Neurospora crassa OR74A: one gene and its partner. The protein of the gene in region 1 purifies or fractionates together with the protein of each later gene. This does not show direct contact. Links are inferred from orthologs where the notes say so. Each region holds a gene or a part of one and is shown in the gene's direction. Other genes may lie near its edges.

Region 1 (7,033 bases):
CGGCTCACCAAGCCTCTTATTCTCCTCCTCTTGCGCTCCGGCATGCGGCGTCAACGTCGGGCTATGCACCATGCCATCAGGGCTATGCTGCCACTTTGCCACTTCGGCCTTCATGGCCTCGAGCTCCTTCTGGAAACGCTTGCCGAAGACGTCAATATAGTAGGTAGACCCGTTGTATACGGACCATGTAAACACGCCCATGAGAAAGACGGCCGACAGCCAGCGGTAGTAGAACCAGAGCGGGCAGGGCAGCATGGTCAGGACCGCGTACGTGTACTGGATCAGCATGAAGGCCGGCTCCTGCAGGGAGTCGGGCAGGTTCAGGATCGCCTTGCCCAGCCAGTTTTTGGAGTACGACTTGCGCAGCCATGTAAACGAAGTGGGGCGGCCGGCGGCGATCTTGTCGCGGCGCCGGACCGTGATGAAGAAGTAGTACGCGAGCTGCCAGATGGCGTACGGGATCGTGGACCAGGCCAGCATGGAGATGACGTTGGCGTAGGCGGTCGGGGAGCCGGGCGGAGAGGTCTTGATGGTCCAGATGGACGGGAAGCGCTTGCGCTGCTCGGCTGGGTCGAGGAGGTGCACGATGCAGTGCAGGGTGGCGCAAGGCATGATGTGGATGAAGAGCGACGTGACCTTGTCGAGACTGTGGAAGACCAGGGAGTTGCGCCACATGATGATGGCTATGGCATTGTTGCCGTAGGCTAAGCAATAGACGGCGGTGAAGAGACGCTTCGAGCCGGGGAACACCCACAGGCTGAGGAGCAGGAGGAAGTTGACAAAGTAACAGAGGTCAGCAAGGAAGTAGTGGTAGCCTTGCTTGTGGTAGCGGTAGAACCGTATGGGCATGAAATAGAGGATCTGAACAGTGTACCAGATATGGAACCATTCGGGGAAGGCGCCGATCAAGTAACCGCTGATGAAGATGTTCATGACGCCGAAGATGAAGGCTACTTTCTCGCGGAGAGTGATGACCTTGGTGTCGTTCCAGCGCTTTCCTAGCTTATCAACGTTGACGCGCATCCGCTTCTTGTATCGCTCCAGCTGCTCCTCGGCCGTGGGGACCCGTTTGCGCCATTCATCCACCATGCGCTCTCGAGCGATCGCACTCTTTTCTTTCAGGGCCTCGCCGGACTTGCGCATCTTCTCGGTTCGGGCGTGGATGCCTCTTTGCAATTTCTCCAGCTGCTGAGGGAGCGCAAAATTATCGAGAAGGTCGAGAACAGTCAAGCGATCGAGAGGGGGGAAGACATCCCACTCGTCGTGAAGAGTGCTGCTTATGCTACCCGAAAACGACGAGTTCCTCGATAATACGGCTGGACTTTTCGGGGTCGTGACATCGAGAGTTGGGGTATTCGGATCATGTTCTCCGGGCGAAGAGTTTAGGGGCGGTGTTGAGGGGGTGTCTGGGGTCAAGATGGCCTCGCCATCGGTAGATGGTGCGCCTTCTGACTTGTGGCTCAGTCCCGAGACCGGGAGACTGATCTCCGGTTCCGCCAGATCGGCCATGGTTGGTGTTTTGTGTTCAGTATGTTCTTGCTCAAATGTTCTTGCTCAAAATACGACAATGTTATCCAAATGGGTGATACGGAAGGAATAGGGTTTCTGTGGAGGGGCAATGGGTCAGATTAAATCCACAGACATGATAGCCATGGCAGGGAAAGATGGTATGTTCATGTTTGAGACGTACTAGTCGAAACCCCTCGTGTGGTGGAGATTTACTTACACAGCCATCAAATGGCGACGTCAATGGATGGAGAAGGCTTGTACCATAGGTAGCGAATTGGCAGAAGTGAAAGCGGCAGCAGGTGCTTCTGGGGTCGAGGGGATGTCGTAGCTATTTCTAGATGATCAAATGTGGAGCACCAAGCTTGAGACGAAATGATTGTCGTCAAGATTGGGCTGCAGCGCGTTGCAAAAGTTGTGTTGTGTTTCCGGCATGCGGGCAGTGGCGGGTCGGGGATTCTTGTTGGCTCCCGTCAAACAGCTTTGCAGGGAAAAGAAGAGACGGGATGCACCGGGAAAATGACATATGCACACGTGAATTATGGTGATATCACTGCAGATAGACTTCACGATACTGAACTCGGCGTGGAGGATAGATAAGAGACTTGGATAAGATGGATACACGTGGTCTGAATTTGATCGGATTAAAGGCTGGGGAGATGAGGAGAAAGTAGATGATAAAAAAAAAATTGGACCACGTGTGACTCTCATTGTCTCGGATTTGAAGCTGGAAAAGGAAGACACCTTGTGACGACGGACGACGACGGCGTGTTAGTGTCGTTGGTGCAAGGTCTCCAATGACGGTGTATGGATGCAGCTTCTCCCAGCATGTGATGCAAGCAGGCCTAACATTGGCAGAGAATGCGATCATTGGCGCGCTGACGTTATGGCTGCAGATTTTAGTGTATCAGAACTTAGAACCCTGGAAAACTGCCACAATCTGTTATGTCAGTCGGCCATTTACGCCACATCTTGGTCGTTTTGCTATCAACCGATGGGAGGTCACTGAACTCTAGTGTATCGAGCACAGAAGGTCCTCGTCAAGAGATCCAAGAAGATCCGGAACATCGAAAGCTTGATTTCGGTTGTTCCGTAAGGCTGGAAAAGACCCGTAGCATCCTTGGCTGGGTGTACAAGTTCCACAAAGGCAGGTCCAGAACATCGCTGCCTCTTAATTCTCGCCGGTTAGGTGTCCTAAAGCATGGATAATTTATGAGCAAAACAAACTAACAACCTACATGTGTTGCGAATGCAAGCTCTACCGAGGAAGGTATCCTCGTGTTGTCATCAAACCGTCTGGAATTTGATCTCCTTCCGCTTCCTGTGGTGTACTACTCAAAAAGACAACAAGGTGGACATGGCTACTTGTTAGTCATGGGCTATAACCCTAACCCGTATTTTCGTCCCCCGCCGTTGAAGCGTGAACTGAAGCATTGGATGGTCCAAGCGCCCATCTGTCTGTCCTTCAATCGCTCCGAGTGCCTGTGCAGCACTCCCCCACCTCCTGCAGGATGCGACAGATGCTCTACCTTGGCGACCTGCGCTGCCCTGGGCAAATTATTGGGGAAACGAAGTCGCGACACTGGATTAACCCGGTCGACCTTGTTTCCGCTACCGCGCCCACATCTGCCTGCGATTACAAGCTTGGTTGCGATTCCAACCCATCGCACCACCCTCGACCTGTTTACGCGCCTTTTGATGTTCCCCGATCGCGCCGTCACCGCGGATCTCTGTTGGAGCGCGTCGAGTCTCCATTTCTAGCGAGTATCGTCTGCGCTAGCTCAACAACACTATAACCGGTATTCCCATTCGCATACCTTCGGCGCGTCCTCCTGCAGGACATCAACAACCGCAAACATGGGCAAGCTCATCCGTCTCGAGCTTTTCAGTAGGTCTTGAATTCTGCTCTGCGCGAAGCACGACACCTTGGTCGCGAGCGTGCCGAAACTCACCATGTTTGCCGTAAACCAGACTTTAAGTCCTACAAGGGCCACCACACCCTCCTGTTCGGCGACTCCTACTTCACCTCCATCATCGGTCCTAATGGCTCGGGAAAGTCAAATTCGTAAGTTGCACCGGGTTGCGGTCGCTAGGGACTGCTTTCATATTGACGGGCGCGCGCCTTGCTAGGATGGATGCCATCTCCTTCGTCTTGGGCATCAAATCGTCACACCTCCGATCGACCCATCTCCGAGACCTGGTCTATCGTGGCCGTGTTATGAAAACCTCGAAAATCCAAGAAGATGGCACCGCTGCCCCCGCTACTAACGGCGTCAATGGGCACGAAGACGGCGAAGACGAAGACCCTTCCCAACGGTCATCGAGGAACGACCCCAAGACGGCTTGGGTCATGGCCGTCTACGAAGACGATGCTGGCGACGAGCAACGGTGGAAGCGAACCATTACAAACAGTGGATCCAGCGAGTACCGCATCAACGATAGAGTGGTTACCGCCCAGCAATACAACGATGCGCTTGAGGCTGAAAATATCCTGATCAAGGCGCGTAACTTCCTGGTTTTCCAGGGAGACGTTGAGGCCATTGCCTCGCAGTCGCCTCAAGATCTTACACGCTTGATCGAACAGATATCCGGAAGTCTTGAATACAAGGCCGATTATGAGAAGTTGCAGGCCGAGGTCGAGCAGGCTGCTGAGAACCAGAATTTCCAGCTGCACCGGAGAAGAGGCATCAACTCGGAAATCAAGCAGTATCAGGAACAAAAGAAAGAGGCCGAAAACTTCCAACGGAAAACCGAAGAACGAGATGAGGCCGTCATTACCCATATCCTGTGGAAGCTATATCACTTTCAGAAGGTCATGGACGAGTCTAGCGCGCAAATCCAGGAGCACCAGGAAAACCTTAAAGAGTTCCGTCGGAATGTTGAAGCCTTTGAAAACAAACTGGATGCTGCTCGTAAAGAGCAGGCTACGGTAGGACGTGAGGTGGGCAAGGTTGAGAGGAACATCAAGGCCAAGGAAAAGGACATTGAAGACAAGGAAAACAGTCTTGTGCCAATCGACGAAAAGATTGCGCAAAGCACCCAAGATATGGGTGTGCTACGGAAGCGCATTGTCGAAGTGAAAAAAGACCGCGACAGCCAAGCATCTAGCATCTCCAAATTGCAAAAGGACCTCGCCACCGTGGAGAAAGCGCAGCAGCAGTTCGAAAAGCAATGGGCCGAAACACTCAAGAAGCAAGGCAAGGAGCTTAGTGATGAGGACCGCAAGGAATATACTAGTCTTCAAGCCGAAGCTATGAAGAAAACTGCCGACAACCGGGCCAAGCTGGCCAACCTCACGCGCCAGCTCAAGAGTGACGAGGTCACCGTCAACAGCCTGAAAGGGAAAATCGACAACTTTGAGGCCGCTATCGAAAAGCTGCAGACGGAGGTTCAGTCGATCAAGGATAGAAAAGACGCCAGCGAGGACGCGGTACAACAACTCCGAAGCGATATCGCCGCCAAGAAGAAAGAGTATAACAAACTCCAGTCTGAGCGCGTAAGGATAAACCAGACCAGAACCGCCCAGGAGGAGAAGCTGCGGGAAATCCTTCGCAAGCTGGAGGATGCGGAGTCTGGCCGGCGTCAGAATGAGAAGGAGACAAGATTGAGGAACATGATCAGCGACCTCAGGCGCATCTACCCAGGTGTCCGAGGCCGGGTTGGAGATCTTTGCAAACCCAAACAGAAAAAATTTGACGAGGCGGTCATCACAGCCCTTGGACGTGACTTCGATGCAGTTGTGGTGGACACCGAGAAGGTTGGGATGGACTGCGTGCAGTATCTCAAGGAGCAGCGATTTCCTCCCTTGACGTTTATTCCGCTCGACAACATCAAGGTCAACAGCTCAGTTTCGGCAGTTAAGGGCATTTCCGGAGCACGACTGACCATTGATACAATTGACTTTGATCCTTCCCTCGAGCGTGCCATCAGCTACGCTTGTGGTGGATCTGTCGTCTGCGACAATCTCCATATCGCAAAGGACATTGTATACGGTAGAAAGATCCAGGTCAAGGCTGTCACGCTGGAAGGTTTCGTAATTCACAAGGCTGGTACCATGACGGGTGGCCGTTTGCCTAATGAGAAGGGCGGCAAGCGTCGGTTTGAGGAACATGACATCCAAAATCTGCAACGGATGGCACAGTCATTAAAAGACGAGGTGGCAGCTTTGGCGCACTCTGGGCGACGAACCGCCAAGGAGGATGCTTTGTTGGTCGAATTTACGGCGCTTGAACAACGCCTCAAGATTCAGGAAGGTGAACTGGCCGCCTTTGAGAAGAACCTCAAGAGCAAACAGAAAGAGCTCGATCATCAGGAGCGGCAGCTGGACGACTACGAGCCCAAGTATGAGGAAAAGCACGGCGAGCTGGAGCGGACGCGGGCAACGGTACAGAAGTTCGAAAAAGCCATCTCAGACGTCGAGGATAAGATCTTTAAAGATTTCTGCAAGAGACTGGGCTACGAGAACGTCCGTGCCTACGAAGCCCAGCAGGGCACTTTGGAACAAGAAGCTGCCCAGAAGCGGCAAGACTTTGATATCCAAAAACAACGCATCCAGAGCAACATCACATGGGAAATGTCACAGCACACGGCGACCAGCGACAGGATAGCCTCACTAGAACGGACCCTACAACGGCATGAACGAGATCTCGATACATATCGACAAGAGAAAGCATCGATCGAAGAGGAACTGGCGGAAGACCGGGAGGCGCTCGAGGAGCTTGAGCAGAGTCTAGAAGAGCTCAAGGTCTCCCACGCAGAAAAGACCAAGAAGGTCCAGGAGGCCAAGCAAGACCTACAGAGGAGGAGCAGAGACATAGAAGTCAGGTTGAAGGAGATCAGCAATCTGGAGGCTACAGTTCAGCAGAGTAGTGCTCAAAAGCTTGCCCTGCTCAGGAGATGCAAGCTTGAGCAGATCCAAATTCCTCTTCAACAAGGCTCTCTTGACGACATTCCAAACGAGGACATGTTACTCCAGAAGGACCAGGATGCCATGGATGTTGATGGCGAGGATGAAGACCAGGAAGCCGAGCTTCTCGAAGCTGCCATGGACGACTACGGTGTCGAAATCAATTACGACAACCTCGATGACGCACTACTTCAAGACCCGAACGACGAAGTCGAAGAGAAGCTGCAAGAAAAGATCTCGGCCCTCACCGCCGAGATCGAGAAGCTCAACCCCAACATGCGCGCCATCGAGCGTCTCGAGTCGGTCAAGTCGCGCCTTGAGTCCACAGAAAAGGACTTTGAGGACTCGCGCGCCGCCCTCAAGGCGGCACGGGATGCCTTCAACCAGGTCAAGGACAAGCGGTTCGAGCTCTTCAACAAGGCCTTTACGCACATTCAGGAGCAGATCACGCACGTGTACAAGGACCTCACACGCTCAGACGCCTATCCGCTCGGTGGGCAGGCGTACCTGGATATCGAGGAGGACACGGACACCCCCTACCTGTCGGGCATCAAGTACCACGCCATGCCGCCGCTCAAGCGGTTCCGCGACATGGAGCACCTGTCGGGCGGTGAGAAAACC
Region 2 (6,953 bases), on another chromosome or scaffold:
AGAGCTGGAAGCAGCTACGGCACCCGCGCTGCCATAACCCATCTGAGCGTTGGCACCGGTAGCGCTGAGGGCAGAGATGGCAGCGGCCATCAGCATCATGTTGACCTTGCGGCCCTTCTTCTCGGTACGCATAATAACGCAAGGCTCCTCGGTGTTCATGATAACGCAGGGCTCCTCGTTGCCGTTACGCATGGGAATGCAGCCGATGACACTGTTGTCAGACATTGTGGCGGTCAAAGAGACAAGCTAGAAAGGATGGTTAGACGACGCGCAAGATGAGAGAGTAACTATAACTCATGGGCGCGGGGCAGAACAGGGGAAGGGGAGAGGGGGCCCAGAAAGGCTTTGCGACAACGGCGACGAGGCATGAACACGCCGGTAAGAGTCCGGGATCAAGACCTCTTGATGCGCGCAGAGTCGCCTGCTATGGTGATAAGACCAGGCGCATGGTGAAGAGGTGCCCCACGAAGGTGTTGCAAGACCACTGTCATGTTGCGACCGTGTTGCGATCGAGGAGCCTCCCCACCATGCGACGAGTCGTCGCAACGATACAATCAAATGGACGAGAAATAAAAAGGAAGCAGAATGATGGGACTCGGTGCTTACGAGTGATTAATCCTGGAGGGCTGGATGCGCGCGCGCTGAACGAGTGGCTGTTGAGAGTGGAAAGACGATCCCGCAGTTGTCGAAGAAGAGTGCAAAGGTGGGAAGGAGGAAAGGTGGAAGAAGAGACTGCGGGCCAGCTTTGGGATTCTTATACGCTGGGGAAGGAGGGAGTGAATGTCAAAACCACTGCAGCAGCTGCCATTGTGGACGACTGTTTTCGACTGGCGACCGAGGAGGATGGGATGAAAACGGGCCGGCAAGAGTTCCTTGAGAACCTAAGGAGTCCTTCAGACGGGGAGGTGCGCTTGGTTGTTGGAAACGCAATTCCGTCACCTGAAGCTTGTCCGTACAATTAGCGGCGTACCTTCCATGTCCAAAGGTTCCGCGGGTAGAGGTAGGTACGATGAAGTAAGGTAACCCTGCTTTCACCTACTAGTCGAGGGTTGTTCAGACGTGTGACAAGGCTAGGTTCTCTCGAGACGTTTACGTCTGCTCTCTTTGGTACGGTAGATGCTCAGATCTGTTCTTGTGATCTGCCAGGCTGAATTTTGCAGGTTTGTGCGGAAAAGAAAAACAAGCAAAATGCTATGTCCCGTAGCGACCACTCTGATTCCAAGTATAGGTAGCCGCTAAAAGGGGGTGATCTCACAGTATCTCGGACATAATCACTTGCACTATTCGATTGTTATTCTGCTGCTGTTTGATCCAACGTAGGATGATTCGTGGATGTATCCATGTCCTTGTGAGCATGATACAAACGGATGATAAATGGATTGCAGTGCCGTAGGAAGTGTTAGATATGAAGAGAAGTTTAGGTATGTCTGCTTTGTAGATTCTGGGAATGTAAGGTTGTCCATTCCGCCGAGCAGGTAGACATACATGACTTTGCCACATATGATTCCTTGTTGAAGCGTAACGATCTTAATTCGTAAACGTCAAACGATGCCGGAAACTTTCAGCGATGAGACTCGCAAGCAAGGCACTGAAGACGAGAACGAGGTAACGCATTATTTTAGACTGTGAAGTCGTGAAGCCCATGAGGATATTCATGAACGTATCGAATAAAGTGAACTGGAATGTATGAATGAAAGATCTCAAGACTTCCTCTTGCGCAATACGTCGAACAAAGTGGACTAGTGACGGGGTCAACGTGAACATGTTACGCTGTCAAAGGCCCCCATCCAGTACGAATGTAGACAAAATAATTCCAGAAAAATAAATACTGCTCAGCGATGACTCGTATTTCACATACTTTGGGTAGCTTTCACCATGTTAGGGATGTTGAATAAAAGAGTGTCATGGATGAGTTCTAGGTGGTTTGAGAGGCTTTGTTGACGTGCGGTTGAAGTTCAAGTTGCATCGATTGACAGCGTTGTTTGGAGTTTGACCATACTGTAATTACTGATACCATATTTTCATACAGATGTAATGCCTGTGCGGCTTGCCGAAACAGTGAGTGGTAATTTGCTGTAAGCTGATCGCAACGTTTCACAGGGCCCCTTGCCAGTGGTCACAGGGCCCCTGTCATCCATTGCGGACGCTGCAGCTCCTTGGCTCTTGGGCAGCTCTCTGCCTGCCATCGTCCCGCCAATTGTTTCCCCCCCCCCCCAAGTGGTAGTTCACGAATTGTTGTACTGCCCGTCACGCGAAGGAACAGGACGGGCAAGCGCGTAACACAGCTGTTGCCGAACCATATCAACGACTCATCATCCCCCCGCAACTGACTGTATCCTCCTCCGAGCTCAGTCGGCCTGTCGCGCGACATCTAGACACCACCTGCGCATATCATTATCTCGGATCTTAATTCGTGGCCCGCGATACCAAGCTGCCCGTATATCTCCAAGGACCCGCGCGCATCGTCAATCGCGAGTCAACGGCCTGAGCCTCGACGTTTCTCGTTAACGTCGCACCACGACACCACGCGCGGCTTGCGGTCGCCCATAGACTCTTAGGCCCTCCCAGCTCCTTTCTGCCTCCGCCTTTTTATTCGAATCAGTTTCCCATCCTCGCCGCTTGGTCACTTGGCCAAATCAATTATTCAGCTAGCTCGTCCTCAAGATCATACGCAGGAAGGTAACCGATCGCAGCGCGTCAGCCGCCATGGCGCCACGTCGAAGCGCTCCCGAGGAGGAGGAGGAGCTCGAGCAGGAGCAGGAGCAGGAACAGGGACTGGTCGCACTCGAGTTCAACGAGCCCTTGACATGGCGCCCCGGCAAGCCCATCTCCATCGATACACTGCTCAAGAGGCTCGACGCCCTCTCCAAGGAGCTGTCGGAGATGGATCAGGAGACTGTGGACACCAATTCACTGGTCAAGGTTGCTAAGGACGTAGCCTCTCATCAGCTCATCCAACATAAGGACAAGGGCGTACGAGCATACACGGCATGCTGCATTGTCGATATCTTGAGGCTATGTGCCCCCGATGCGCCCTTTACACCATCGCAACTCAAGGTTCGAGAGCCAGAATACACCATCTCATGGACCACTTGCTGACGTTGGTGATCGCAAAACAGGACATCTTTAACCTCAGCATCAACTCCATCATTCCCGCCCTCTTCGATCCATCGAATCCCTACAACAACCAACACAAGTATGTGCTGCGATCCTTTGCCGAGATCAAGAGTATCGTTCTGCTACTCGATGTTGAAGGCAGCGAAGCCTTGCTACTCAAGCTTTTTACCACCATTTTCGACGGTGTCTCGGGTGTCAAATCTTCCAAGGGAGAGCAGGTTGGAAAAGACGTCGAGTTTAGCATGCAAGAGATGCTGGGAGTACTCATCGACGACTCCGTAACCCTTCCAGGAAAGGTTGTGGATGTCATCATGGCCCAATTCCTGAGAGCGGCTGCTCCGGGACTAGGCAAGGAACGGCAGGATCATGTGCCAGTCGATGACAGCCAGGCAACGCTGCTTCTGAAGGAAGAGCCCGAGGCTTACCAGATGGTCAGGAATCTATGCCAGACTTATGACGACAAGATGGCCCGTTTCGCCAGTCAGTATTTTAGTGATGTGATTGTCGATGCGACAGGGTTTGCGGGGAGGTCGAACGGCAACAGAGACGAGGATGACGAAAACGATGAGGATGATGGCCCGACAGGGCCCTCCGAGTCCGACTTGAAAGAATTGAGGAAGGCACATGTGCTTATTCGGGAGATCTGGAAGGCCTCTCCCATGATCCTTCAAAACGTTGTCCCTCAGGTTGATGCAGAGCTCTCAGCAGACAATGTGCACTTGCGACAGATGGCAACGGAGACGCTCGGAGACATGATTTCGGGCATTGGCGCGGCAGGTCCGCCTCCACTGCCCGTCCTTGATCCAGCCGCATACCCGCCATTGAGCCTGGAAGAAGAAGAAGAAAGAGCGGAACCCCAAGTGACCAACATCCTCACCACGCCACTTTGCTCCATATCCTTCTCGCAAACACATAGTACGACGTTCCACAACTTCTTGAGTAGGAAGAATGATAAAGCCCCGTCAATTCGCGCTGCATGGACCACGGCGGTAGGCCACATTCTCTCCACCTCTGCTGGAGGAATCGGACTCAGCCGCGAGGACGAGGCTACTTTGATCCGAGGGTTGGGAGAGAAGCTCTCGGACAGCGATGAGAAAGTCAGACTTGCAGCTGTTAAGGCTGTCGAGACCTTCAAGTTTCAGGACATTATTGCTAAGCTAGGACCTAATGGAGGAGTAGGCAAGGATGGATCGGTTCTCAATACGTTAGCCGATCGCTGTCGCGACAGGAAACCCGCTGTCAGAGTTGCTGCCATGTCACTGTTGGCTAAACTCTGGGCTGTCGGGACTGGTGAGATGCTTGCTGGAAATGAAGCGGTAACAGCAGCATTGTCTGGCATCCCGTCGCGCATCTACAACGCCTTTTACGCCAATGATCTGGAACTCAATGTCCTGATGGATCGCGTCATCTACGAGTTCCTAGTACCTCTTGGGTATCCGCCAGCCAAAAAGGCGACCAAGAATTCCAACGCCAACGGCAACTCCCAGTCGCAATCGGCTAATGCGACATCCATTGACCATGATGCGATTAGAGCAGAGAGGATTCTCCTCCTTGTTCGCTCTCTGGACGAACCGGCGAAGAAGGCATTTTTCGCCATGCAATCTAGACGGCCTCAGTTCGCCAAGATTATGGAAACCTATCTCGACCAGTGCGAGAGGTACAACGGTGGTGTTATGGAAAGCAATGCCGACAAAATCACCAGCAACTTGAACAAAACGGCCGATTACATTGCACAGTTTCTTCCAGAACACGTCAAGAGCAAGACCGACCTACTCAAGTTTGCTAAAATTCACGACCGCCGCAATTACAACCTCATCAAATATGTCATTGGCCAGGAGAATGATTTTAAGACAGTGTATAAGGCCTTGAAAGAGCTCATCAAGCGCTGTATGGCCAGCAAAGACCCCTCAGTTATTGACACTCTGCTTCCTCTACTCTACCGTTCTGGCTGTCTTCTCTTCAACCGCAGTCACTTATCTACGATTATGGAGTACTCCAAATCAGATAAGGACGGATTGGGATCGGTTGCGCACGAGATCTTGAACGAGATCTCTCAACGCAACCCAGACCTCTTCAAAACTCACATCGGGCAGCTTTGCAAGGATCTTGTTGATCAGGCTCCTAATGCCACAAAGCCGAACGATCCCATAGTAGCGGAAACGCTCAAGGCTTGCTCTACGTATGCCCGGAAGTTCCCTAAGGATGTCGCCATGGATCGGAAATTCGTCCAGACCATGATCAACTATGCTCTGTATGGCCAACCCGTCAAGGCCTCGAAGCATGCCGTGAACATTGTTCTTTGTAAGAAGGATGACAAGAGCATGGTTACCGCCACTGATCTTCTCCAAAGGATTTTGAAGGATTGGTCATACGGGTCGAGTAATTTCCTTAACAAGCTTACTGCTGTGAGCCAGTTGGAACTGCTTGCACCCAAGGTTACCGAGGAGGCGAATGATGAGATTCTCAATATGGCCTTCAAGCAGATCCTCCTCCAGGTGCGGACCGACGCCAAAGACAGCGATCCCGATTGGGTCAATGACGCCGAGATGGATGAGGAAATCCAGGCCAAGTGCCTCTCCCTCAGAACACTAGTCAACAGGGTGAGGAGTATCGAGGATATCGAAGACGCAAAAGAGAAGGCCAGTAATGTTTGGAAGGTGCTCAGGAAGATCATCAAGGAGAAGGGCGAAATTGTCGAGAACAAGGATACGCCCAAGCATCACAAGACAAGGCTAAGGCTCTTGGCTGCGCAGTTGATGCTCAAGCTCTGTACACAGAAGCATTTCGACGACATGCTTACGCCATCAGACTTCAACCTGTTGGCCTTGACCACTCAAGATATGGTCGAGGAGGTGCGTCATGGTTTTGTGCGAAAACTCCAAAAATATCTTGCCGATGGCAAACTGCGGTCGCGCTACTATACCATCATCTTCCTCACTGCCTTCGAACCCAACACTGAGTTCAAGAACAGGGTGGAAACATGGATCCGTTCTCGGGCGCGCCACTTTCAGAACCTCAAGCAGCCTGTTCTCGAGGCGATCATGGCCCGCCTCATCTCGCTTCTGGCCCACCACCCCGACTACAGCAACGAGTTAGACTACCTTATCGACCACGCTCGGTACATCCTCAACTACATCGTACTGGTGGGCACCGAGTCCAATCTGGGCTTGATCTACAAGTACGCGGAGCGTGTGAAGCAGACGCAAGATGGTCTTAATCCGAACAGCGATGCGCACAGGGTCCTGAGTGACTTGGCGCAATCTATTATCAGGAAGTGGCAGGAGAAGAAGGTTTGGGCCTTCAATGCGTTCCCCGGAAAGGTCGGCCTACCCGTCGGTCTGTACACGGCCCTCCAGTCCCACAGCGAAGCGCAGACAATTGCAGAGAAGTCCTATCTCCCCGAGGGCTTGGACGAGAAGCTTGACGATCTTCTGAGGGCTATGGATCGCAAAAAGGTACGTACACTTAAAATGACTCTACGCCGTTCTGATGCAATGGCTAACGATCCTCCTTTTTTTAATAGAAACGCAAGTCCATGTCCGCTGCAGCCGGTACCAATAACCGCGACGGGCACAAGTCCAAGAAAGTCAAGCAATCCTCCGGTGACCGCGACGGCGACCGCGAAGCCAAGTCCTCGCGCAAGATCGCCACAGCCAAGTCCAAAAAGACCCCGGCCAAGAAGAGGTCCGACCGCGACGACTGGTCTCCCGGTCCGGCTGTTCCCGAGTCCGAGCGCCGGCAGAGTTCCCGTCGTGCCAACAAGAACAGTCGTCCCTACACTGAGCGCGACTCGGAGGATGACGATGAGGAGATGTTGGAGGGCGTGGCCGAGTGGG

Evidence for each region. The genes of interacting proteins can lie anywhere in the genome.
Region 2: the proteins of NCU01323 (region 1) and NCU00424 purify together in Saccharomyces cerevisiae (affinity purification with western blotting; 3 studies listed by BioGRID, with this or other methods). This does not show direct contact. The link is inferred for Neurospora crassa OR74A from reciprocal best matches to the Saccharomyces cerevisiae genes SMC1 and PDS5.

The regions. Positions count from the first base shown.
Region 1 is NC_026505.1:3,657,701-3,664,733, reverse strand, and holds the start of NCU01323 (cohesin complex subunit), read left to right. Parts: upstream 1-2,955; 5' UTR 2,956-3,363; coding exon 3,364-3,394; intron 3,395-3,477; coding exon 3,478-3,571; intron 3,572-3,636; coding exon 3,637-7,033. Other genes in the region: NCU01324 (uncharacterized protein), read right to left, coding at 1-1,509. UniProt on the Saccharomyces cerevisiae protein: Involved in chromosome cohesion during cell cycle and in DNA repair. Central component of cohesin complex. The cohesin complex is required for the cohesion of sister chromatids after DNA replication.
Region 2 is NC_026503.1:3,810,650-3,817,602, reverse strand, and holds the start of NCU00424 (Spo76 protein), read left to right. Parts: upstream 1-2,252; 5' UTR 2,253-2,706; coding exon 2,707-3,057; intron 3,058-3,119; coding exon 3,120-6,572; intron 6,573-6,640; coding exon 6,641-6,953. Other genes in the region: NCU00425 (hypothetical protein), read right to left, coding at 1-225. UniProt on the Saccharomyces cerevisiae protein: Essential for the establishment and maintenance of sister chromatid cohesion at centromere proximal and distal regions during S phase. Also required for chromosomal condensation.